4 linked regions of the Drosophila melanogaster genome follow. The protein of the gene in region 3 interacts with the protein of the main gene of each other region in a pairwise test. Each region holds a gene or a part of one and is shown on either strand. Other genes may lie near its edges. The genes, in order: RNASEK, CG3500, Nep3 and Mpcp1.

What was found.
Region 1: the proteins of Nep3 (region 3) and RNASEK interact in a two-hybrid assay, tested with the Drosophila melanogaster proteins (one large-scale study listed by BioGRID).
Region 2: the proteins of Nep3 (region 3) and CG3500 interact in a two-hybrid assay, tested with the Drosophila melanogaster proteins (one large-scale study listed by BioGRID).
Region 4: the proteins of Nep3 (region 3) and Mpcp1 interact in a two-hybrid assay, tested with the Drosophila melanogaster proteins (one large-scale study listed by BioGRID).

What each region holds. Positions count from the first base shown.
Region 1 is NT_033778.4:4,185,258-4,190,661, forward strand, and holds RNASEK (ribonuclease kappa), read right to left. Parts: upstream 2,871-5,404; 5' UTR 2,758-2,870; coding exon 2,689-2,757; intron 2,623-2,688; coding exon 2,503-2,622; intron 2,436-2,502; coding exon 2,337-2,435; 3' UTR 1,578-2,336; downstream 1-1,577.
Region 2 is NT_033778.4:23,354,739-23,360,014, forward strand, and holds CG3500 (uncharacterized protein), read right to left. Parts: upstream 2,828-5,276; 5' UTR 2,551-2,827; coding exon 2,481-2,550; intron 2,420-2,480; coding exon 2,118-2,419; intron 1,933-2,117; coding exon 1,708-1,932; 3' UTR 1,634-1,707; downstream 1-1,633. Other genes in the region: Rpi (Ribose-5-phosphate isomerase), read left to right, coding at 616-1,341; CG9875 (uncharacterized protein), read left to right, coding at 3,017-3,096, 3,155-3,440, 3,502-3,609; CG34423 (uncharacterized protein), read left to right, coding at 3,980-4,029, 4,095-4,233, 4,294-4,362; Mthfs (methenyltetrahydrofolate synthetase), read left to right, coding at 4,742-4,858, 4,932-5,187, 5,252-5,276.
Region 3 is NC_004354.4:19,958,302-19,965,196, reverse strand, and holds the start of Nep3 (neprilysin 3), read right to left. Parts: upstream 3,901-6,895; 5' UTR 3,597-3,900; intron 3,509-3,596; exon of another isoform or gene 3,352-3,508; intron 2,022-3,351; exon of another isoform or gene 1,856-2,021; intron 1,243-1,855; coding exon 1,126-1,242; intron 416-1,125; coding exon 253-415; intron 192-252; coding exon 71-191; intron 1-70. Other genes in the region: CG12655 (uncharacterized protein), read left to right, coding at 5,830-5,896, 6,297-6,697. UniProt on the Drosophila melanogaster protein: Metalloendoprotease which is required in the dorsal paired medial neurons for the proper formation of long-term (LTM) and middle-term memories (MTM).
Region 4 is NT_033778.4:20,277,454-20,283,845, reverse strand, and holds Mpcp1 (mitochondrial phosphate carrier protein 1), read left to right. Parts: upstream 1-2,718; 5' UTR 2,719-2,858; intron 2,859-2,908; exon of another isoform or gene 2,909-3,002; intron 3,003-3,236; exon of another isoform or gene 3,237-3,256; intron 3,257-3,400; 5' UTR 3,401-3,418; coding exon 3,419-3,611; intron 3,612-3,680; coding exon 3,681-4,445; intron 4,446-4,511; coding exon 4,512-4,678; 3' UTR 4,679-4,780; downstream 4,781-6,392. Other genes in the region: CG16868 (uncharacterized protein), read left to right, coding at 1-1,696; CG9143 (uncharacterized protein), read left to right, coding at 5,024-6,392.

The sequences.
Region 1 (5,404 bases), on a different chromosome or scaffold from region 3:
TATTGTGACAAGCTTATTTAGTAAATTGTATCCTTTTTTGAAGCACTTGTAAATCAAAAATTGTTTAAATTGTACTTTTTATGATGTTAAACGTTATACAAAAAGAAAAAATAAAAAAAATTTATTGATTGATGGCCATGGGTGAAAAGGCCCAGTTAAGTTCGTTTATTGTTGTAGATCATCAATGGAAGCACAGTTTAACGTTGGAATTAAAGTAAAAAACTTTGCGAAGCAGTTTAAATTGCCGCGTCAAACTGTGTATTATCAATTTAAAAAGTATAAAAACATAATGATTTAAAAAAACTTAAAAGGTTTTAACGGCCTTAACAACATTCACTGACGACAAAGTCTTTATGAGGGAATTTAAAAAAAAATTTTCCAAAACCCCAGCCGTTGAAACGCAGTGGAATCTGACCGCCAGGCTTCCCAAAAGTAGTGGCCGCCCAGTTTGACGACGTTTAATGGCACAGGGCGTGAGGACATACATATGTAATAATCGGTGCCCAGGGAACACCACGGGGAGGCCACTACAATTGTAATGGGTCCTATATTTACATGAACTTCGCGTTTATTTTCCACTACTTACCAATTACTATTTGCGCTTATATTTCCGTACTTTACTATTGCAACACATTTTGGAAATTGTTATAATTGTAATTATAAAACAAAAATTTTCCAAAAAAAGTCATTACATTGAAAAAAAATTGTCTACAAATAATACGTTGTAGAAAATACTGCTTAAAAAACTGTTTATTACAAAAGTCTTGAAAAATCTTGAGGCACGAAGTGCGGACACAACGTCGCGAGCTGAATACTCTAATGACAATTATTTTAATATAGTCATTTTTGAAATTTATTTTGTGATATTATGATTCGGCTATTTCTATTTCTAAGCTTTATTAAATAATAGTAACGTTAAGGCAATGCAAAACAATAATTTTTCACATGGTGCCTATTTATCAAAAATAATATAGATTTAAAGTCTAAGAACTTTTAAGGTGAAGGGCATATTTTGTCAAATTTACAATGCATGAGCATACGTGTGCACACATACAGTTGTCTGCTATCACTGCAGGCGTCGAAAAGAGCTGTTCGCTGTAGCGCTCTCCGCTCTCTCGCTCTCGAACAAAAATTTGAGAGTATGGCACTACGCATCTGTTACTCTAGTGTCTTCGGTTCGGTGACTTGGTCCCTGTCTCCGGCTCGATGAACCAAAGGCAATGTTTGACGACCCTAAACGAAAATGCGTTTCCTTCTGGAAATAGGCTGATCGAGGATCATTTATCCTGCAGAAAGATTATGCTCCGTGCCACAAAGCCCGAATGATAGCCAAGTTTCTAAAGGCTGTTGGCGTCACTCTCTTGAATTGTGCACCTCAAAGTCCAGATTTAAATATAATTAAGAAATCTGGTCTCTTTTAAAACGGAAAATAACTGTTCCGTGACACAAAACTCGTTAGAAGGCGATTTCTGAAATCACTTCTCTTTTTAAAGAGATGATCCTTTACAATATGGAGGATTTAGTAAAGGTTCGACTTACTTACACACAAAAAATAGACATTACTATCATATTAAACCATTTAAAAGTTTCACTGAAAAAAGGTTTGGAGTTTATTTTGTCAAAATGCTTACCGACTAGTGTATGTGGATACAGCAACACAGCGCACAAGATAATCTCGTGTTCATATGTACATGTTACAGAACGACGTAACGTAACATAATTAATTACCAGCTTGATATAGGAAATCAAGACAGTAATGACCTTACTAACTACTTTAATTAATTTATAAATAAAATATTTGTAAGTTGGGTAATTTAATAATAGCTATCAACAAAATTAAAAACAGTACGAATAATTCATGTCTCGCCAAACCGTTCCACACAATATCAGTAATAACCGTAATAAACATTTAAAATACCTTTTTTTAGGTCTTCCGTAGGTAAAATTCCCGTGGAGAAATAAAATATCATTTCAACAATTTGTTCAGATTGACCTCTTTAATAAAAAAAAGTGCTTTCATGACTCTGAAGGAAATTCCGGAGTTTGGATTTATCGCTACTATAGTAATCAAATATATTAATTCTCAAAATTTAAATATATAACAGAAATAAGAAGTGAATGGCGCACTGAACACATGAAACATAAAAAATGAAGTGAATAGTCTTCTTTGGGGTTTAAAAAACACAAACTCCTCACTCCGCCCCTTAATACAATAAGCATGTTGTAACATTTAAATTGAACTTTAACTTTATTAAAAGGAAAACACCTCTAACAAATATATCGAAGGGAAAATTTCAATACTAGTTTTAAGTAGTTGGGAAACTACATCTGAAATATTAGTTGGCAGTTACTCTGCTATTCATGTAAAATTGCTGGGCGGAGAGCAACAAAGTCAAAACATATATACATGCGGCAATCCAGCAGTTGTAGGCATTCTGAAAAAATTTACCTTGCATTAGCAGACGTATGTGTACATATGGTTGTTGTAAAAAGAGAACATACCTGATTGTATGCTCTATTTGCAGCTGCATAAAAATCTTCCAACGAATGGTATTCCTCCTCAAGAGGTAAGTCCTCAATGAGGGCTACACTATTTATGTAGAAGAATAGACCCATTAAAACCTTTAACATAAATATGTAAGTGGTTACTTTTTGAAACTTTGACGAAATTAGATTCTCAGTACTCACCAATTGGACAATACCCCAAACAGAGATAATAAGACCACAAAGTGATAGTTTCGGGCCACAGATTTTCATTTTCTTAAATTTTTGTTAAACACTTTTAAGAGAATAAAAAGTTTCAGCAAACACAATTCGTCACAATTCCTCAATGAAAACTGTGATTTTGTCAGGTGAACATATCATGTGACCAAACTTTTGGTGTGGCTGTGCACAAATAAAATTAAAAAACTGATGCAAATGTAAGCGATAAAAAACATAAGCTCGTCAAACTAGCGTCGGTGAGCTAGTGACGATTTAGGAGCGGTGGAAAAGGAACAAGGGCCGTTTTAGTAATTTTAGTCACTGCCCGGAGCGTGTGAAGCGCAATGGTCAACATTCTACTGCCCGGAGCGTGTGAAGCGCGATGTCAGCATTCTGCCGTGAGCGCTGCTTCAGAAAACGGGCTACTTCATATTAAGCTTAAGTTTTCTGTCTTTAGTTTTAAAACTCATCAGAACGCGCATAGTCGCATAATAAATCGCAATACACAAAATCGTTGCCTGTTAATTTATATAACAATATATATATAATATATTATAATATATATATTATATATATATATATATATATACAATACAATACAATAAGTATAATAAATAAATATATATATACATATATATATATATAATAATAATAATTTTAATATTATTAATTTTATTATTATAATTATTAATATTTTAATATATATGTCGGAGATTGAGTAGATCTAACATATTATTTGAATTATTATTTGAATGTAACCGACATTTGTTTATTGATCCGTATGTTAAGGATGAGCAGCGAGTAATAAAATTCACGGAATGAGTTCCGTTATTGAGTGGGCATCATTTGTGTGTGTATTCAAATTAGCATGGCGCCTGTTGTTGTTGTGGTAGAGTTTTGTGGAAACGAAGTAAGGATAAAACAAAAAAAGAATTTTGAAGATGAGAAATAGAAGAATAGCATCGAGAAGGCGACGCTTGAGTAAATAAGTCTGGTGAGAACTGCCAAAGAGACAACACGCAGGCGACTTGCTGTGCTAATTAATTGGACGCTCGGCTTCACCGACATATATATATTATATTATATCATATATATATATTAACATATCCATTCTATACCCACAACTCCCCAACCACACACACTATCGTAAACAATTACACACACACATCAATGTGTAAGTACGAAATGTAATTAAAGATCGAGAGCCCTTCGATTAAGCTTAGCTGTCAATTACTCACAGCAAAGTGCAAAAGTCCGAATTCCAAAGTCTAGACTCTGCGTCGAGCCAACGTCCACGTCCCCTAAATATCCGATCACTTGGTGAACCAACTGAAATAACAAAAACTTCCGCCCACACAATCGTCTCAGGATTCTCCAATTAATCCTATTTTTCGGAAGCTCCTCTCTTAACAGGAGAATAGACGTTGATAACGTTGTTCTCTTAAGCTTCGCTCTTAAGCTATCCCAATCTGCCTACATAAACCCAAACATGCCCCAATACGTTAGTTCAGTTCTGAGTACGTTATCAATCGCCATAACCCTGCTTAAGATTGAACCACGCGAATCGGCGCTAAAGTGAACATAAAATCGTAATACAATTAACTCTTTTATCCGCAAAAGAACTACTTATAATCGGTGGTTGACACGCAATAGTCAAACCTACTGCATACGGTCAATAAAAGTGTAAAAACAAAAATAAAAATAAAATCATCAGCCATGGCAACCGAGCAAGTCAAACTGTTATCGGAATCCCATCTGAATCAAGCCTTAAGCCAAATTAGGCAAATACCCACATTCAGTGGTAATACCCCAGAACTCAGTGCCTTTATCCGAAAGATCGATTTCATACTTCCAGTCTATCCATCAACCGACACCAGTTAAAAACATGTATTCTTCAGCGCAATTGAGATGCAACTCGCCTCGCGCGATAAACGAGTTCACATGCGTCTGATTTGGTTTTTCCAAAAATATTGACAACCTACAATTTCGTCTTGTCTTATTTTTTGATAGGGTTTTATCAAAGACTCTAGAATAACAAGATGCGTACCGCCATAACGACTTTTTGGCACACGATTTTTTCGGCGTGGCTCTAGAGGTGGCTCCAGGCTCTCCCGAATTTTTGTTCAAGATCGAGAGAGCGGAGAGCGCTACAGCGAAAAGCTCTTTTCTACGCATACAGTGATAGCAGACAACATGCATTGTAAATTTGACAAAATATGCCCTTCTCCTTAGAAGTTCTTAGACTTTTAAGGCAATGCAAAGTCTAAGTCTAAGCAAAGTCTTAAGTCTGTATTATTTTTGATCAATTGGCACCATGCGAAAAATTCTTGTTTGCATTGCCTTAACGTTATTATTATTTGAAAATAGATTAGAAATAGCGAAATCTATGTACATCACAAAATAAATTTCAAAAATGACTTTACATTAGAATATTTGTCATTAGAGTATTCAGCTTACGGCGCGTAAAAAATTAAATTTGTAAAATTTATGTTTTAGATTACAGTAGTTATAATAATTTCCTTTGTATTTGCTTTAATTATTTAGTATATTTATTAGTCATTTGATATTTTTTAATATTATTATAATATTTAATATTGATATACATTTTAATATTATGTATGTAAATAATCAAATTTTATTATTTAAAGTGCACATTAGATTCAGTTGTTTTTTCATATTCTTTTTTTTATATTCAAATTTG
Region 2 (5,276 bases), on a different chromosome or scaffold from region 3:
TGCAGGTCTTTGTGGAGAACGAAATCAACCTGAGTCCCGACCAGAGCTGCATGAACTGCTGCGGAGGCTGCCATGACACCCGCTCGAGCGGTTGTTACAAGGCGGAGGAGGAGTTCTGTGGCCAGCAGGCCGCTTGCAAGGGAAGGCTCTACAAATGCAACACCATCGAGTCCGAAAGTTTATAATCTTTGTGGGGACCAAAAACAACAGCTAAGACCGCTGCTACCAAAGGTAATCCCTATATTAATATATAAACCATAACAAAATAAAATCCCTTTTATTTCCAGTGTGGATTTCGATCTAGAAACCATATGTGCTTGAGTTTAGATAACGTAAACAGAATAATTTTAACAGCTAACAGTTGGCGCGCAACTAACAGCTCTGTTAGCCCGGCCGGCGCAACAGCGAAAAATCCCTAGCGCTTCACCAAAAATCCCGCACCGGCGGCTTGATCTCTGTGACATTGAAGTTGCGATTGAAAGCAAGCCTGTTAACCACATGTTATCTGGGTTTTTGCGACGAGGCGTCCAAAGAGCACGGTTCACCTTCACCCAGCAACTCGGCGAAGATCTTTTGAGCGGCGCAGCGGCAACACTCCACACCCAGATACGCATGATGGATGACATTGCGCTGGACGCGGCCAAGAAGACGGCGGCCCGCACGGCGGTGGACCAGTGGGTGACTGAGGATACGAAGATTCTGGGGATTGGCAGCGGATCGACGGTGGTGTACGCCGTGCAGCGGATCGCGGAGCGCGTGTGGAAGGAGGGCGAGCTGACGGACCTCATCTGCGTGCCCTCGTCCTACCAGGCGCGCCATCTGATACTCGACTACAACCTTAACCTGGGCGATCTGGACAGGAATCCCAACATAGACGTGGCCATCGACGGGGCCGACGAGGTCGATCGCCATATGGTGCTGATCAAGGGCGGCGGCGGCTGCTTGCTGCAGGAGAAGGTGGTGGCCTCCTGCGCCAAGCACTTCATCGTGGTGGCCGACTACACAAAGAACTCCATCCGCCTGGGCGAGCAGTGGTGCCGCGGCGTGCCCATCGAGGTGGCGCCCATGGCGTACGTGCCCATCAAGCTGCACATCGAGGCGCTTTTCGGCGGCGAGGCCTCGTTGCGTATGGCCAAGGTGAAGGCGGGACCCATTGTCACGGACAATGGCAACTTCCTCCTGGACTGGAAGTTCATCGCCAACAGGGAGTACGACTGGGACGAGGTCAACCGCGCCATCACCCTCATCCCGGGCGTCCTGGAGACGGGCCTGTTCGTGAACATGGCCCACAAATGCTACTACGGCATGGCCAATGGCTCGGTCAAGGTCCAGAACAAGTAGTTCTTGGGCGGAGTTGGGGGAGCGCTTTTTGCATTTATGTTTCACCAAGTTGTTCCTTAAATTTTAGGTTTGCCATTTGTAATGGATTTAAATACATATTGAGTTCTTAGCCGAGAAAACGATGTGTCCTAACTTGAAAGTTTCAGCAAACGAATCTTATTCAGCTTCTTCATTCAAGTATAACATCGAAATACGTCCAAATCACCACAAAAGGGTATCCATTACACTGAAATCAGACCCACTAAATCTCAATTGGTTACAGTTCCACTACAATAAAGTGGATGTCGAATGTCAGTTCACATGCGCTTTGTATACTTTTGTCTCGATTGCGGCTACAAAAATAAATAAACATTAAACAAGCTAGATCTAGAAGGCCTTCTTGGTCCGCCCAGGGAGCAGGGCCTCTTTCAGATACTGGAACAGCGACAGCAGGCCCTGCTTCTTGTTACGCGAGAAGTAGTTGCTGACCACGTCCGGACTGCGCCGGCTCTGGTCGCTGACGGTGGTGGGCAGGACACTGTCATTCGCACTCAGCGAGACGAACAGGGCGAAGGGCACGATCCACATGCAGATGGTAAAGTAAGCCAGCACCTGAAAGTGTAAATTTCCTTTAGGCGTTTGCTGCGGCCTAATTCAAGTTGTATGTAAACAAACTGATGATGTGGATACACAATGCAATGCATATTGCATATAATGGCTGTATAAAAACGTACATACGTTTGTACGTAGCGAATGCGCTTTCCATGACTAATGATTTATGCAATACATATGCTCACCTGCGTGAAAGGCACATAGACAGTGACGAAATGCTGGAAGGCCAGGAAGTGATTGACCACCAGCATGGCCAGGGAGCCCAGCAGCGGCAGCGAGAGCAGGCGCACGAAGGGGAATCCACTCATGATGCCCAGGTGGAAGCCCTGCGCCACCAGTCCGCAGATGATAAGGCTCCACGGCAGGTCCTCGAACAGCAGCAGCAGGATGTAGACGAAGATCGTGAAGCTGATCAGAAATAGGATGCACTTCCTAGCCGCCGTCGTGTACTCCTCGGCCAGCTCCGCCAGATAATAGAGACCAGCCACTGGAAATACAAATTGCAGACGTTGCAATTGGACAAGTGCGGCTGCACGGCGACAGCTCACCAATCGACAGGGTGAGGAACACGATCTGTATGGCCAGCGAAACCCATCCCAGCAGGTACAGGACGGCCATCTTGCGTACTTCAGGCGGAATCGAAGGATATATACGGCTCAAATCGGCCGACAAAACAAAACAATCCGATTAGAGTGGCGTGTGGTGTGTGGCTCGAAATACCAAACATTTAATCAGCTTGTATAGAAACGGGCACACTAATGCGCAGAGCTGCCAGATATTCTCGTTCCAACGCTTTTTCAAATATTTTTTGTGGGAAACATGAGGAATTTAGGATTGAAATCCATATGCAAACTAACTAATGTGAGCAGCAGCATCCATGGACCATGACTTAAAAATATCTGCAAATGAAGTAAAAATACATTCATAAGTAAAACGAGTTCAATTCTTTATAAAATGTCGGATATCAAAACCGAATATCTTAGAAAGCAACCGTTTCAAATTTCATCTGAAGCAAACAGTCTAGATTCTGCTTTTGATATCCTGCAAATTGTCCAGCCTTTTCGAAAAATCCGTAACTTTTCGTATGTGTTCCATACTCGCACGTGCAAGGATGTTTTGTGCAGGAATAGTGCAGCGTAGACTGAGCATGGGTCTCAATCCAAAGTGAGTAGCGCTTGCACATAACTCCTTCCCTTAAACACCCCATCCGAAATCCCTGAAGACTCGGCCTGGCGCCCAGGAAGCTCTACTCCGAGGAGAAGAAGCCCCCGGGTGTTTTCCTTTGGGGCGGCGGACTTGGCAAGCTGCAGGGCGGTCTCAAGGAGGAGGAGTACTTCATTTCGTTGACCCAAACCCTCGTGGGCAAGATGCGGGACAAGAAGGAGCCCGGCGACTACCTGCCCAACTGGGACGAGTTCCAGAAGACTCTGGACCACGCCTCGCTGGGCAGCACCTCTTCCATGAACAAGCACAAGAACGTACTCGAGGAGGCCTTTTTCCTGAACAAGGTTGCTATAAGTCTCCAGCTCATTTTTCTTCTAATTTCCATTGCAATATCTTTGCTTTCAGACTGCAGACGACATCAAATTATTGCACGATCGTGCCCAAGAAGAGCTCAAATCTCGCCATACTGCCACAGAACTGGAACTCGAATCAGATCCCCAGAACACCAAATAGTTAGTTGTTTATGTTTAAATGCCATACACCGATTTCTTCAGGCGCATCATCATCATAATCACCCAACTTATCCACATGACACGGCTCAATAAAATTGTTAGTTGCAATCTTTGTAGAAAGTTTTTATGGAATTAAGGAAGTAATTAAAAATCCATTGGGTCATCCCAGTTGATTAAAACTAAAGTTCTTTAGCCCCTATTTAGTGAATGTGTTTCTATTTCCGTGCCCACTCAGTATTTTTAGCAGCGCTATTGTCCAATGTTCACCAGTTTGTTTTCGCAAGTCGTCGAAATCGAAATTTCAGCGGCTACTCATCCCTTATATATAGCTTAACTATACTATATAAACCGATAAACCGATAGAGGCAAACATGTTTACACTGCGACGATTCAGTCAGCGCTGGTATCCCAAGCAGATTCAGTAGGTTTCGCGATTTGGAGAGCAGTTGCGTAAGATTCTAGAACCGTTTTCGAATCGCTTTGCAGGCACTTGAAGATGTCGCAGATCGGAGAACTGGGCAGTGGAGCCGGCAACGGCGGCGGCGGCGGCGGATCCATCCGGGAGGCGGGCGGTTCATTTGGCAAAATGGAGGCTGCTCGCGAGGAGGAGTTCTTCTACAAGCAGGTGAGCTCTTTCTACTACACCAGACTGTACACGAGGTAAAGATTCCATGTTTCCCTGCAGCAAAAGGAGCAACTGAAGAACCTGAAGACCAAGACGGAGCCTAAGGCACCAGAGGCTCCCAAGAAGTGAGCCCAACCAGGAGCTTTGAACTCCACTAGCTTAACTATGGTTAGGCTGGATTGTCTGAATTGTATTTAATGGGAATGGTACTCCAAATATATTTTGTTTAATTTACAACTGGTTGTGTATTGGATAACTCCCATCCCTGATCAGCTGATCGCCCCGCGGCTCACCCAAACTGCAAGCCTAAACTTTCCCCAGACCGCTCCACTTCCATTTGTTTACGAACAGCGCTGCAAAGCGGAACAGCCGACAGATAAGCGTCAGTGTAAGCGCAGCTGATAACGGGCGGCGGAGTGGCGACCTAAAGACGCATGGACCGCGCAGGCAGATGGAAACAGTTCGCACCGGTTCGCTCGAGTGTGCAGTAGATGATCCAGCGGCAGGAATGGCGGCCACGATCCAGAACACCCTGAAGGTGGCGCTGCGAAAGCGCATGAAGGATGCACTGAAGGGCATCGACGCGGAGGCCATCGCCCGGCAGTCGCAGGCCGTCACGGCTAAGGTAACATTGGTTTGGCTGGGCCCCAAGGTTATCAAGTTAATTCCCAATCCCCCTAATCGGCTCGATCGCACAGGTGCTGCAAAGCGAGATCTTCCGGCAGGCGCAGCGGGTGAGCATTTACCTGAGCACAGCCTCGGAGCTGGACACCACGGCGCTGCTGTCGGAGATGTTCCGCCTGGAGAAGATGGTCTTTGTGCCCACCTACGAGGGCAGCAGGATGAAGATGGTGCGGCTGCGCGGCATGGAGGAGTACGAGAGCCTGCCTCTGACCAAGTGGAACATAAAGCAGCCGGACTTCAAGGAGGCACGCGAGGATGCCATGACCAACGGTGAGTGGCTAGGCATACATCAGAGCTCCTTCTAAACCCACACACACACACTCGATCACCACAGGGCACGGCATCGATCTCTTCATTGT
Region 3 (6,895 bases):
CTGCAATTTTAAGCAAATAGTTACTGGAACTCCTCTTGAACAATTTGAATTGAATTTTTAGTTAACGCACCAGGAATATCCATAGAAGTCATCGCACGGATCCACGGTCACATCGATCGATTTAAGGATCTCGCTCGAGGCGAAGATGCAGTGCTTGTTCAAGCAAGGAAGCTCATTGCCGGAAGGACAATCTGAAAGGGAGACGATTGTGTATCCTTGGAAATTCCTAGATTACATTCACCCAATCCATACCTTTTTGGTGCGGCTGGACGTGAAGGACGTGCTTGGTCGCATCGCTGCTGCCTCCATCTGTGAAAAGGACGATGAGCAGCGTAAAGATCGTGATGGCCATCACAAAAGTCGTGATGAGCAGCCATTTCTCCGTCTTGTTTCTCGAGCGCCAATTCCATGTAGCCTGTGAAATGAAAACGCCGCATTAGCCACCAATCATTCTGGCCTCCACATGGCGGCACAAAAGATTCGCCCCATAAATCTTTTCCAGCGAATTGTGTGTTTTGTAAACAAGACGACGGCGGTTCAAATGAGTTCAAACTTGTACACATTGGGGTGGTATCTACATGGGATACATTTCGTAAGCGTAAGGCACTTGCCTGCTAATTTTTCCATATATCGCTGAGATATAGATAAATGGCTTTTCAGAAGCCGCAACGACTCATGAAATGCAGTCTCCAAAGACAAATATTGTACCACACTGTTTAAATTCTATAGTAATTTAACTTGCTTTTAGACATTTTGTTGATACAGTTGTATACGGTCAAGTGCTTTCGTATATCTATGGAATAATATCACATGAAGTTTAAATTTATTTGAACAACGAACCGCCTCTCAAAGCCATCGTTACCCTGTCACCAGATAGGGTATTCATGTCAGTTCGCAGAGGGAAAAGCTCACACCAACGCGCTCCCACTCATAAGAGCAGACTTTTCACTGTCAACTGGCAACCTTCGAGCAAATGAGAAAAGCGCTCACTTTGGCCCCATTTGCCACTCGTTTCTGGGTCATTGCCACAAAGATAAAGCTGAAGCCCAACGACAACTAAGTGGCTATCCGACTGAATTGCATTGCACGGATGCACGGTGTTACCCCGACAGGTTTCTTACATACCCGGGCGGTGTGGTAGCGTATCTGCATGCCCGTATGGCCGGTCGCTTCGTTCAATTGAATGCCGCCGATGGAACTCGAGTCGTCCTCCGTGAATTCGGTCTGCTTGTAGCGCGTCATCTGGAATGAGAATCGAATTGTTGCAAACCCATCAAATTGCCTACCAACGTGTATCTAATAATCTAAATATGTTGCTGCTATCTGTTATCACATGTTTTGGTCTAGGGCATCTGATAAGTAGACCGAAGCTTTTCCGCTCGGATTGTATAGATACCGTGCGTTCTTTAGCGCTCACTCAACGCCTTGTGCTTTACATTTCTCTCACATCCCCCACTGCTGCCCATTTTCATATGGTGCTCTATGTACTCAAAAGTGTTAACCCTTCAGCAGTCAGCAGAGCATTCCAAGTTTACGATATGCCTTGGGTTTTCAGAAAATGTGCATTCATCATAGGAACAATTTGCAAATTACCCAAACTATATGGAAATATAGAAATAGAAAAAGGTAATGCACAACAACTTAAGAGAAATATATGTATAATTTTGTACTAAGAGTTCCTCGTAATCTTTGGACTATTTTTACTCGCTATCTAGATATCCATTCGAAAGAAATCGCGAAGTCTGAAACATGAACATGAACAAAACCCATTCTCAACCACTTGTCAGCATTCCATGTCTAACTAAGGTGCCCAACTAAAAGTGAATGGGATACAGGAGCTGAAGCACGGACATACCGAACGGCAGTCGGAAAGCCACATTTTGGTTAATCTTTGTGTATGGGGAGAGCACGGTATGCGGTAGTGTGTTTATTTTTCGGAACTTCGACGGGAGGAGCTATACGAAAACAGAGCGCGGCAACGATACTATCTGTGCTTAGCCCATGACCGCTCGCAAGGCACTGGCGGTCGAGCCCGGAGAGCTTCGGAACTCAGGGACTGCGAGTTCCGAGTTCTGCGACCAACCAATTCAACAATGCCCGCCGAAAGCAGAAAACATCTACGGGCCAACGGCGCGTTATATTGGATAGTTTTGCATTGTACTCAAATTAATTGACTGGCGGCTGTGTGCGTGTTTACTGCGGCAATATGTGCCAAGATGTAGCCGAAATGGATATACTGGGCGCATTAAAATGAAAAGGAGCGGCATATGTATTCAATTAACACAATGCAAATATACACCAAAAGATTCGGCCTTGCTTATGTGCACTTCTATATATCTTCTATATCAACCCACCCATTTTCGGTATGCCGAATAATATTCTAATGTCGATTTGGGATCGGGGATCGGAAAGGCGCCATATGATATGATTTCGCACTCGATCTTGTTTGCCAACAAATTGGTATCTTTAAGCTTTCGATATAGATTTACGAACGTAATCTGGTGTCGGACAACAAGCGATATAAATAACATATGATGGATGGGGGCGATATGATATTGCAGGTATACAATAGGTATATAATACACGTGAAAATGGATGGGCCACATAGAACCACATTTAAAAACACATTAAGCAAGAGGTATCCCTCAGTTTGGACTGCTTCTCGCCACGATTTTCCATCGCAATGTAAACACAGGCTGCACACCAACTGACATTTAGCAGACTGTTGAATGTAAACACGCATTAAATGGCGTTACGCCTAACGAGCCCTCCTTTTGCCACCAATCAAATCGGCTAATGTATTGAAAAACAAGGAGGTAGAAAACCATTGAAAGGTTCGACTTAATGGGCAAATCAACGGAATTGACGTCTTAATACTTTTATGGGAAATATATTAAGTTCATAACATGATTGAATATGATGCAACTTTAGGTCCCATTGAAAATGATTAACTAAGTTATTATATACCTTAGTCTTATGCTCGAAATAAGGATATTTCACTCAACCATTTACTACGACTATTCTACCAAAGCGTCCATCCAAGGGAGTTTTAATGAACCGAACGGAGCCCATGTGAAAGTCAATGATGGCTACTTCGGATTCTCCGAGTTCATAAACGGCTCTTCATGCCATTTTTTTTGCAGGGCAACAGATGATAACTGCAGGGATTCACCGAATCACCACCACAATGGGATTTCACTTGAGCTGCACTGAGTTGAAATCTGGTAGAATGAGTGCTCTCGACTCGTCATTATCTGTCGTTATGCCACCTCCTTTCTCGATTTGGCTGCGAGTATCCTGGCTATTTGGTATACCATATGGTAGCTACTTCATTTGTGCAGCTTTCCTTACAATTTCTCTATACCAAGGACCATAAAATCGGAGCAGCTTAGATGTGTGAGTGGTGAGAGGGTGGTGTGCCTGGGATGCATTTATTCAAATGCAAATGAAATTATGACTTTGAATCGGACTGTTTGGAAGTGGTGTGGTGTGGTGGGGTGGTACTTCTGATTGCACATACAGCACACTCACACACTGACACACTCACACACACACACACACACGTTCAGCAAAAGAGAGGCGCGCTCTTGGCCTACCTTTGCGCTCATTTTCTTTGTGCGCTAGAAAGAAGGCAATGCAACTTTTCCAGCTCCCTGCGCTCGCTTTTTCTCGACCCTTTGCCGTTTATTGGTGCACTTTCGATTAAGTTTGGCCGACCCTCGATGGGTATAACATTCGATCGTTCAGTGATTCATTTAAAACGCGCTTATCTGCATTCCGCTCGCGGTCAAACAAACCGCTCTGAGCCACAAAAAGGCAACGGTATCCACCAACACTGCCAACTCGAGCCACTGACAGCCAGCTCCAGCACCAGCAGCAGCGGTAATCGCACTCGAACTAGCCTTTTCTCTCCAAATTTCACTCGGCGCTGGGAGTCGGGTGGTTGGACTCCCTCGAAAATGGAAAAACCATAACACAAACGTATTAGATGAGCAAAACACACACAAACAGAGAGAGAAATGCGTGGCAGGAGGGAGCGAGTTGAACCCATTGCCGGAGAACGTGGTCCACTGCGCAGGATCTGTTTGAACGGTGGCAACGCTTCGCGCAACGAGTTGCCAGACAATCACAGTGCCCTTCAACAAGCTATCGGTTTAACCCACGTAATCGAGTATCCAAAGCTAACGATTCTCGTAATTCTCAATTAATCAGCTAAATTTGAATACCAGTTACTCGTAGAGTAGAAGGTTATACTAGATTCGTTAAAAAAGCATTGTAACAGGCAGAATGAAGCGTTTCGAACTATATAAAGTATATATATTCTTGATCAAGATCAATAGCCAAGTCGATCTAGCCATGTCCGTCTGTCCGTATCTGTCCGTATCCGTAGATCTCAGGTACTATAAAAGCTAGAAGATTGAGATTCAGCATACAGCTTCTAGAAACAATGAATCCTGTGCGAGCAATGGCTATGAATAATGAACGTCAATGAACATGTCAGTCGAATGACAAAGTCACTATTCAATTTCACTATCTTCGGCAAAGCAGTAAAAATACAAGCATAAGGTATTGAATAGTCCATTAGCATAACCCTATCGGCCGACCTAAATTGCTTTACGTCACAACTGAGAAAGCAAACAATTCGCACATGCCCACCAATTGTATTGTGAGGCTTTTCGTTTTCTACATACATGTATGTACATATGTATATGTATGTTTGTATGTATTTTCCGTCGAACGGTAGCCACAACGTACCTGCATTGTTTGCCCGCCTCCGAACGCCACTCACCTGAAAAGTGCGAAACGGACGGACAACAATACACACATATATAAATATATATATATATATATATATTTGTTTATTTATATGCATATACAACATGCATATGTTAATATTTAGAAAAATATGTATGCAAAATATACTTGGTCATAAAAGATCAACGAAGGTTCGAATACAATTCGGGCGATCATCAAAGCACTGTGACTCGGCATTCCCCATTCGCCAGAAGATCTATGTACATATATGTATGTATGTATGTATCTCGACTTCTGGGGCAAACCAACATGGGAGCACACCTTAACCCAAAATGACCCCGGCCCGTGTCGTGCATATCATTAATGACCCAACCAATTATCGTGTTCTATACAGCAAAAAAAAAAAAAAAAATAACATCTCGACACTCGAACATGAAAGCACTTGAAGTTGCGTGTTCTCGTTTGGGAAAATAAAGTACGACCGCGGTTTTATGTTCTTTGATCGAAAAGAAAATAATCTCATCTGCATGTGGAACAAATAAACGATGAATGGATATGAACAATAAGAAGAATTAATACCACTAGTATAGCTAAATTTTATTTTGAGGATTCCTTAATAAAGCAGACGCAAATTAATTGAGAAAAGTGCGTCGACTAAAAGATACCCATTACCTGCAGCTAACCGAAACTATTTTGTTAATCTCAAGTCACAAGTCATATCTAATTACAGAGTGAGATAAATACAGGTTGTAAACTTGTAACAGAGAAAATTTTTGTGCAATTCGACTATATGATACCTAGTGGTAATATTTTACCCAAAAAGATTTAAGATGTTTAATCTGTTGTTTCGATTTTCGATTTCAGTGCTAAATAAAGTGCCTATTTTGATCATACCCCACCGAAACTACAGCTCCATTCAAATTGAGTAAATAAACACCAAATAATATGACTCAGGGCAGCAGAAAATCGCTATTGTTACTCATAACATGAGAGCCGAGCTTGGGAATCGAGTTTAAAACCGTCAATGGCACTTTGGAAGCGGTTTAGTTGAAGTCAAACGCGCATTCGGAAAACATGTCGAATTTCAATCGCATTCTGATCGTCATTGTTATCGGATTGGCACTAGTTCATTTTAGTGCTGGTGAGTGAAACGCTAACAGAACATATGAAAAATCGCACAAAAAATACGATAAATAAACATACGTATAAACCTCAGCGGCTTTTCCATGGAAAATAACACATCGCATTCGCACACACGATACCATTTCGACGGTGCCAAGTAAACAAATTCAATTTCAACTTCTAATGGAGAATTAAGCACTGCGATATTATCAGCAAATTATTGATCTCTTCTATTTGAAACCAAATATGAAAGCAAAATTTTTAAACTATTTGATTTAAAATGTGTAATAGTATTAGGTCTCATTTTGATAACGACCATGTAGCATGTTTGGTCCACGAGAAGTGGCGGGTACATTGTGGTCAAGGAAAGTTACCTTTTACATGCGTTACTAATTCAAGCACATTTCATTTGAATCCAGTGGATGCCCAGGCCGGAACGGTGCACTGGAACAATGGAAATGCGGCCGGCGTTGGCGTCTATTCGAGCGCCCAGTCCGGCGGGATGCATCCGCCGGGAAGTCTGAGTGGCCAGGATCCGCAGTTCAGCTACGGATACGCCGGCATCGATTCGCGTGGTACCTACGGTGGAGCGGGTGGCAATGGAGCCTACTACGTGAGCGGTACGGACGAGCACGGTCGTCCCTTCTCCTACAACAACCAGGTGGGCCATCCCGGCCAGCCGGGCTACATGGGCGTACGGCCGGACCCCAACTACCCGGGTACCTATGGCTACCAGAATGGCGGAGCAATCATCGGCAGCTCGGTGGGCGTCACCGTGACCATAGCACTTGGATTGGCCTTGGGCGGCATGAGATTTTGATGCGGTTGCAGTGTGGGATCGTTTTTTTTTTTTGTGAATTAGTCTCTAAGCTTAATTTATGTAAACTTTTCAGTTGTGTAAATTCTTTACTAAATTTACTAAAACATAGAATGCTTTTTACTGGAAGGTGGGTTGTTGTCAGAATGAATTAGTTGATTTGATTTTGGTAAGCCCAGAAGGCTTAGAGAACTACATTGA
Region 4 (6,392 bases), on a different chromosome or scaffold from region 3:
GATTGTTAGCACAGCTCCGTATCTGGATGCCGGAGGAGCTGGATACATAATCACCATTGCGCACACCATCTTCGAAGGCAAGGCCCATGCGCTGCACTCTGCCCAGCAGGACAGACCCGTAGCAGTGGTAGCCCTGGACGTTCCTTATGCCTTCTACTATCGCCTGATCCTGGAGGGCACACCGATCTGCCAGCTGCCGCATATAAAGTGTCTGCTGTTCGAGCACGAGGGATATTTGTTGGCTCACCCCAGCATGTTGCAGCCCGCCACACTCACGAAAAACCAGCGACGTCCACATGAGCACCTCACACACAAGGAATCGTATTTGGCCAACGATATGTTGAACCACGGCCAATTGGTACGAAAACTCGGCTGTGCCAGCTACCAAAACCGCACGTTGCAGCGTTACTACGCCTTCAACACATCTCTGTCCAGCATCCTGGGCAACGTAGTGCACGGCGAGCGAACCAAGTACGCGATTGCCCTGATCCGTGGTAGCAATCTATTCGCAGCCGTACTAAACTCCAGCTGCGATGGCGGCGCCTTTTGCCCGTGCAGCACAATCGACAGAGAGTGTCTCAACTGCAAGCGAATGGACCAAACAGACTGCGAGTGTCCTTGCGAGTGTCCAATGGTGGGAGACAGCAGCTCACCATCGTCCCTCATGTACTTTGCCAACTACACGCGACAATTTCCGTACTGTCCACCGCCAAGTGAACATTTCATTGCACTTCCACCGACCACACAGCTGCTGAGTACTCTGCCGAATTGTCCTGGTTCTGCTGGCATATGCGAAACGTATTCCACTCAAAGAGAATGCCTCGGAGTGATGGGCTGCGAATGGTGCCAGCTGGATGTGGACGGCAATAGTTTTTCGACCTCCTTCTGCTCGTCCCAGGCGAGCTGCTTCAACGGAGTACTTGCCTCGCTGACACCCTACGGTGAGCTGGACGAGATGGAACTGCTGGCCGCCCACAATCCGCAGAGAGAGCAGCACGCTTACTCTGCATTTGGTCCGCTAGGAGGAGCCATTGTGGTGCTTGTCATGGTGATTGGCTTTGCCATCTACTGCTACAGACACAATCTGGATGCGCAGACGCAGGAGCACTTCTATGTGGATTCGGTACAGGAAGAGAATTACGGCTTGCCGCTGTCCAGGTTCAACTTTGACGATTGCAAAGCGCATGACGAGCCGCCTCTTGGTGGCGGCTATGACCACGCATCTGCACAGCGGCAGCTGATGCACGCGGCGGATATTTCGCCCTACCACGTTTCCAGCGGCAGTAGCTATCGCCGGCCACCCAACGGTGAGTCGGATCATGGCTACAGCACAATGACGCCGCACGAGGACAGTTCCGATCAGCAGTGCTTCACGCTGGCGGAACCTTTGCTGCTGCACGACAAGCGGCACAGCAAGTCGGACACCATGTCCATATCCACATCCATATCGAGTCCCACGAATCGACAGCAGTCCTCCTCGCAGCCAAACACGCATCCCTACTTGAGCAATCAGCCGACCTCAAAGACGGAACGCTACAAGCAGGTGCAGGCCACGCCCTCGCCATGTCGCGGAACGCCAGCAGGTGGTAGTGTCTACGGGCAGACGACGTTGCCCCTCGAGGGGGATAAGACCCGGCCACACTATATCCTGGCACCAGTGACGGTGCACCGGCACATGGAAACTGCCGAATCGTAGTCCACAATAGCGTTGTTAAGTTTTAGAGCGTAAGATGTCCGCTTGTTTGCCAATTTAGTTATGTAAGTTTCCAAAATGGGCAGTTCAACTGCCGACAGTCCAGAATGCTGGGCCCGCATTCCAAACCCGCAATGTGTTTTGTGAGCTCGCGGTGGCCTCCATTGTTGGCCCATCTGTATCTATTAGAGCCTCCGTGGACGAGACGAACACCAACTATTAAGTGATGACATTGTTTCTGCCATTTTTGATCGATGTATTGTATTTGTATTGTATTGTATTTTACTGTAATTTATTGCAAAAAGTATTACTATATTATGTGCAGCTATATACTTCCGATATTTTTAGCATTTATTTGATAAGCACCAACAACAGAAATGTACTTACTTGTCTGATTGTAAGATACCATGTCGTATATCGTTTTTTGTAATAGCCCCTAAGACTACAGAGTTACTAACTACTGATTTTAGTAATACACATCTATAATAGCATTGTACGTTTCAAATAAAATGTTTAAATTTTGCAAAAAAAACCCACAAGATCTTAACCTTGATCCAGAGCGATCGGATGAATCGATTGGGCTGCCAATTGCTCGTCCTCCGATCAGCTGGTCGTACGTTAATGAAATTATTTTTACACCTATACATTTTATAAGCAAACCAGACGCTGCTCAATGGGCTCTTTTTTTGCTGTGGTGGCCAAGAATTGCCAATTTATAAATAACAATCTCTATTCGGGGGTTGTCAGGTGGCTTTTAGAGCAAAATTAGCTATGGATCTTTGGTGTAAGTTTTTACCCGATACCCAACCATTTCATAACCGTCATTAACCGATGTCATAAGGCTGAGATAGCCAACATATTCAATATCTTCAAAAAGAAAGTGTCTTTATACTGATTAGCTGTGCATTTGCTGTGTAAGTTCTTACCCGATACGCAACCGTTTCGAAACCGTTATCAACCGGTTGGCTTTGCACTCGGCTGGCAACCCTGAACCGAAGCTGCTAGCTCTCACTATACCATTGCAGCCACTGCATTTGGTTTTCTGGTCTGGCGCACGACGAACGTTGCTTTGGGTCCCCACATTTCAGCCCAACAACGACTCTATACTTCAACTATATCTAATCCCTATCTGCACTTCACCTCCTTCGATACCCCGCACTTTGAAGTGAGTGTTTAAGTTTGCTCGGTGTTTTGAAAACCGTTCTGTTTTCGAACATTTTCGAAATATACGCAAAGTGATACAATACGTACTCTGGGGAGAACATTACGCAATGCATAAAAAGTGTTTGGCGAATGAGAAAAAACAATAGTTATGTAAAAAATAATGCAAGTATACATTCTCAATTTCAATATAACTTGATAAAAAAAAGAAAGTTTATAAAAAAAGTTTTTTGATGAAGTGATTTCGGATTGAATATATTATTGCCAATGCTTATCATTTACTATTGCTAATTAATTTTTAAATTATAATGATACTAGAAAAACAGTTTTTAAATAATTGTATAATCTTTCAGGATTAAAGAACATAACTTCTATGTGCTCAAACGTTTTTGACAAAAGAAAGTACGAAATATTAATTTATAGATGTAAAAACAATTAAAATAGATTAAATGTATTTAGTGTAGGCGGTACCACTTGCAATTTAGTTTGTTACATCATGACCTTAACCTTAAACCCATTCGAAACCCTTGATCTCTGTTTTCAAAGGCACTTCTCTAAGGCATCATGTTTAAGTCCCTGTTCGATGCCGCGCAGAACTCAACGTTCAAGTCGCCATTCACTAGCGTCAACTGCCAGTCAGCCACGCCCACTTCCGCCCCCACATCCACCGCGGTGGTGACCCCCACCCTCAAGGATGTTGCTCCACGCCAGCTGACTCGAAACCACAACATCGCTGCCGCTGCCGTTGCCGAGGGTGGTAAGTGGGACAAGTCCTCCTGGAATCACCAATGAGTTGGATATATAAGTATTGTTAATACCTCTGCAGACTCCTGCGAATTCGGCTCGAACCACTACTTCCTGCTGTGCGGCCTGGGCGGCATCATCTCGTGCGGCTCCACACACACCATGGTGGTGCCCCTGGATTTGGTCAAGTGCCGCCTGCAGGTGGACCCGGCCAAGTACAAGAGCGTGTTCACCGGCTTCCGCATCAGCTTGGCTGAGGAGGGCGTCCGCGGATTGGCCAAGGGATGGGCACCCACCTTCATCGGCTACTCGATGCAGGGTCTGTGCAAGTTCGGCCTGTACGAGGTCTTCAAGAAGGTGTACGGCGATGCTATCGGCGAGGAGAACGCATTCCTCTACAGAACCGGACTCTATTTGGCTGCATCGGCATCCGCTGAGTTCTTCGCCGATATCGCCCTGGCGCCCATGGAGGCGGCCAAGGTCAAGATCCAGACCACGCCCGGATTCGCCAAGACATTGCGCGAGGCTCTGCCCAAGATGACCGCCCAGGAGGGCGTGACCGCCTTCTACAAGGGCCTGGTGCCATTGTGGATGCGCCAGATCCCATACACCATGATGAAGTTCGCCTGCTTCGAGCGGACGCTGGAGCTGCTGTACAAGTATGTGGTGCCCAAGCCACGTGCCGATTGCACCAAGGGTGAGCAGTTGGTGGTGACCTTCGCCGCCGGTTACATTGCCGGCGTGTTCTGCGCCATCGTCTCGCATCCGGCGGACACAGTGGTGTCCAAGCTGAACCAGGCCAAGGGTGCCTCCGCCCTGGACGTGGCCAAGCAGCTGGGTTGGTCTGGTAAGTGCTGACATTTGATGGGATTTCCTGTTCCTCATCTAAAACATTCGCTTTTTTCCAATTCAGGATTGTGGGGCGGTTTGGTGCCCAGGATCGTGATGATCGGCACATTGACCGCCGCCCAGTGGTTCATCTACGATGCCGTCAAGGTGTTCCTGCGCATGCCACGCCCACCACCACCAGAAATGCCCGAGTCCCTGAAGAAGAAGCTGGGCGTGACTGGCGAGCAGTAAACCAAATATAAGCTAACTGTTTTTAAATTTAGAGCGAGCAGAATGTTAATCGAATTAAACTTGATTTGTATAGATAAACCACACAGTAAATAAAAACCACACAAAAATTAAACGCTCTTTGTATCAAGGGGTAAAAGAAAATTTCAATTTAAAATAACCGCCAAGCTCGAGTGCACACCTCCATATTTTCCAACACTAATTTAGCACTTTTAGTTCAATACCGAACAGCTGAGCTTAACAGCCCCGTCCAATGTCAACAAACAGAGGGAAGAAGAAGCAGCATTCAACACGCGGTTTTTTGAACTGCATTTTTATTTCACTTTTATTAAGTTAAAATAGATAATTATGGTTCAGAATAAACAGAAAACAGCGAAGCCACCAAAGCTGCTAAAAGGCGCAGCCAAGGAGCCTGCACTTTCGAAGGCGGAAAACTGGCAGAAGGTTAAAATCAAGGGCCACGTGATATCCGACGATGGTGGCGGCTTCGAGGGATTAATTGGCCTGGAGGTCCTCAAGGACTACGATGCATCGCTGGTGAAGTCCTCGCAGAAGAGGACCACATCCCGGAATCCAGACAGAGAGCGCAAGCTGAAGAAGAAAAAGAGGAAGGTATCGAAGGGCGACGAGGAGGAATCCAGCGAGAGTTCCAGCGAATCCGAAAGCGAGGATGAAGTGGCGGTCGCTGCTAGGACCAGTAAAAAAGCCCGCCTGGCCGAGCGTCATGCGCAAAAAATGCAGAAACTGCGCGAGAAGCGTGAAAAGCGAAAGGAGCTGCGGAAACAGAAGAAATCGAAGGGCAAGGAAAACGACAACAGTGAGGAGTCCAGTGATGAGCACGCGGCAGATCGTTTCGCATTGCTCAGGCCACCACCATCGGACGATGAAGAAGAAGTGGTCAAGGCGGAAGATTCGGCAGACCAACAGGAGTCGACCGACGAAGAAGCACCCGAATTAGTGCCCATCTCCACAGGCGAAGCCGAAGATATGTCCGCCTGGAACGGCCTGGGTGTTCCCGCTTCCATTTTGCGTGCCCTCGGCGAGCAAGGCTTCAAGACGCCCACACAAATCCAGGCACTGACGCTGCCGGCTGCAATCCACGGCAAAAAGGACATCCTTGGAGCAGCCGAAACGGGCAGCGGAAAAACCCTGGCCTTTGGCATACCCATGCTCGCCGGAATCATGGAGCTGAAGCAAAGGAATATTCGCTCTGGCATACGCAAGGCGCCCAAGGTGAAGGGACAGCAGCCGGAGCCAGCGGCAGATGAGCACGAGCTGACGCCCCCGCCGGAGGAGCTGGATCATGTTTCCGGTGCCAGTGATGAGGAGAGCGATGCGGAGGAGCAGGCCCAGCGTGTACAGACTCCTCTGTACGGTCTGGTTCTCACACCCACCAGGGAGTTGGCCGTGCAGGTCAAGAATCACCTGGTGGCTGCTGCAAAGTATACAGGCATTCGAGTGGCAGCCATCTTCGGAGGTCTAGCTGTTGCGAAACAGGAACGAGTACTTCGCCAGTGCCCGGACATCGTGGTGGCCACACCTGGTCGCCTCTGGGAACTTTACGCCCAGGGCAATCGACATTTGGGCAAGATCGAGGATGTCAGTTTCCTGGTCATCGACGAAACGGATCGCATGGTGGAGAAGGGACACTTCGAAGAGCTGCGCAGTCTACTCAAGGTTCTCAATTCGGACGAGCAGAAGAAGCATCAGCGCCAAA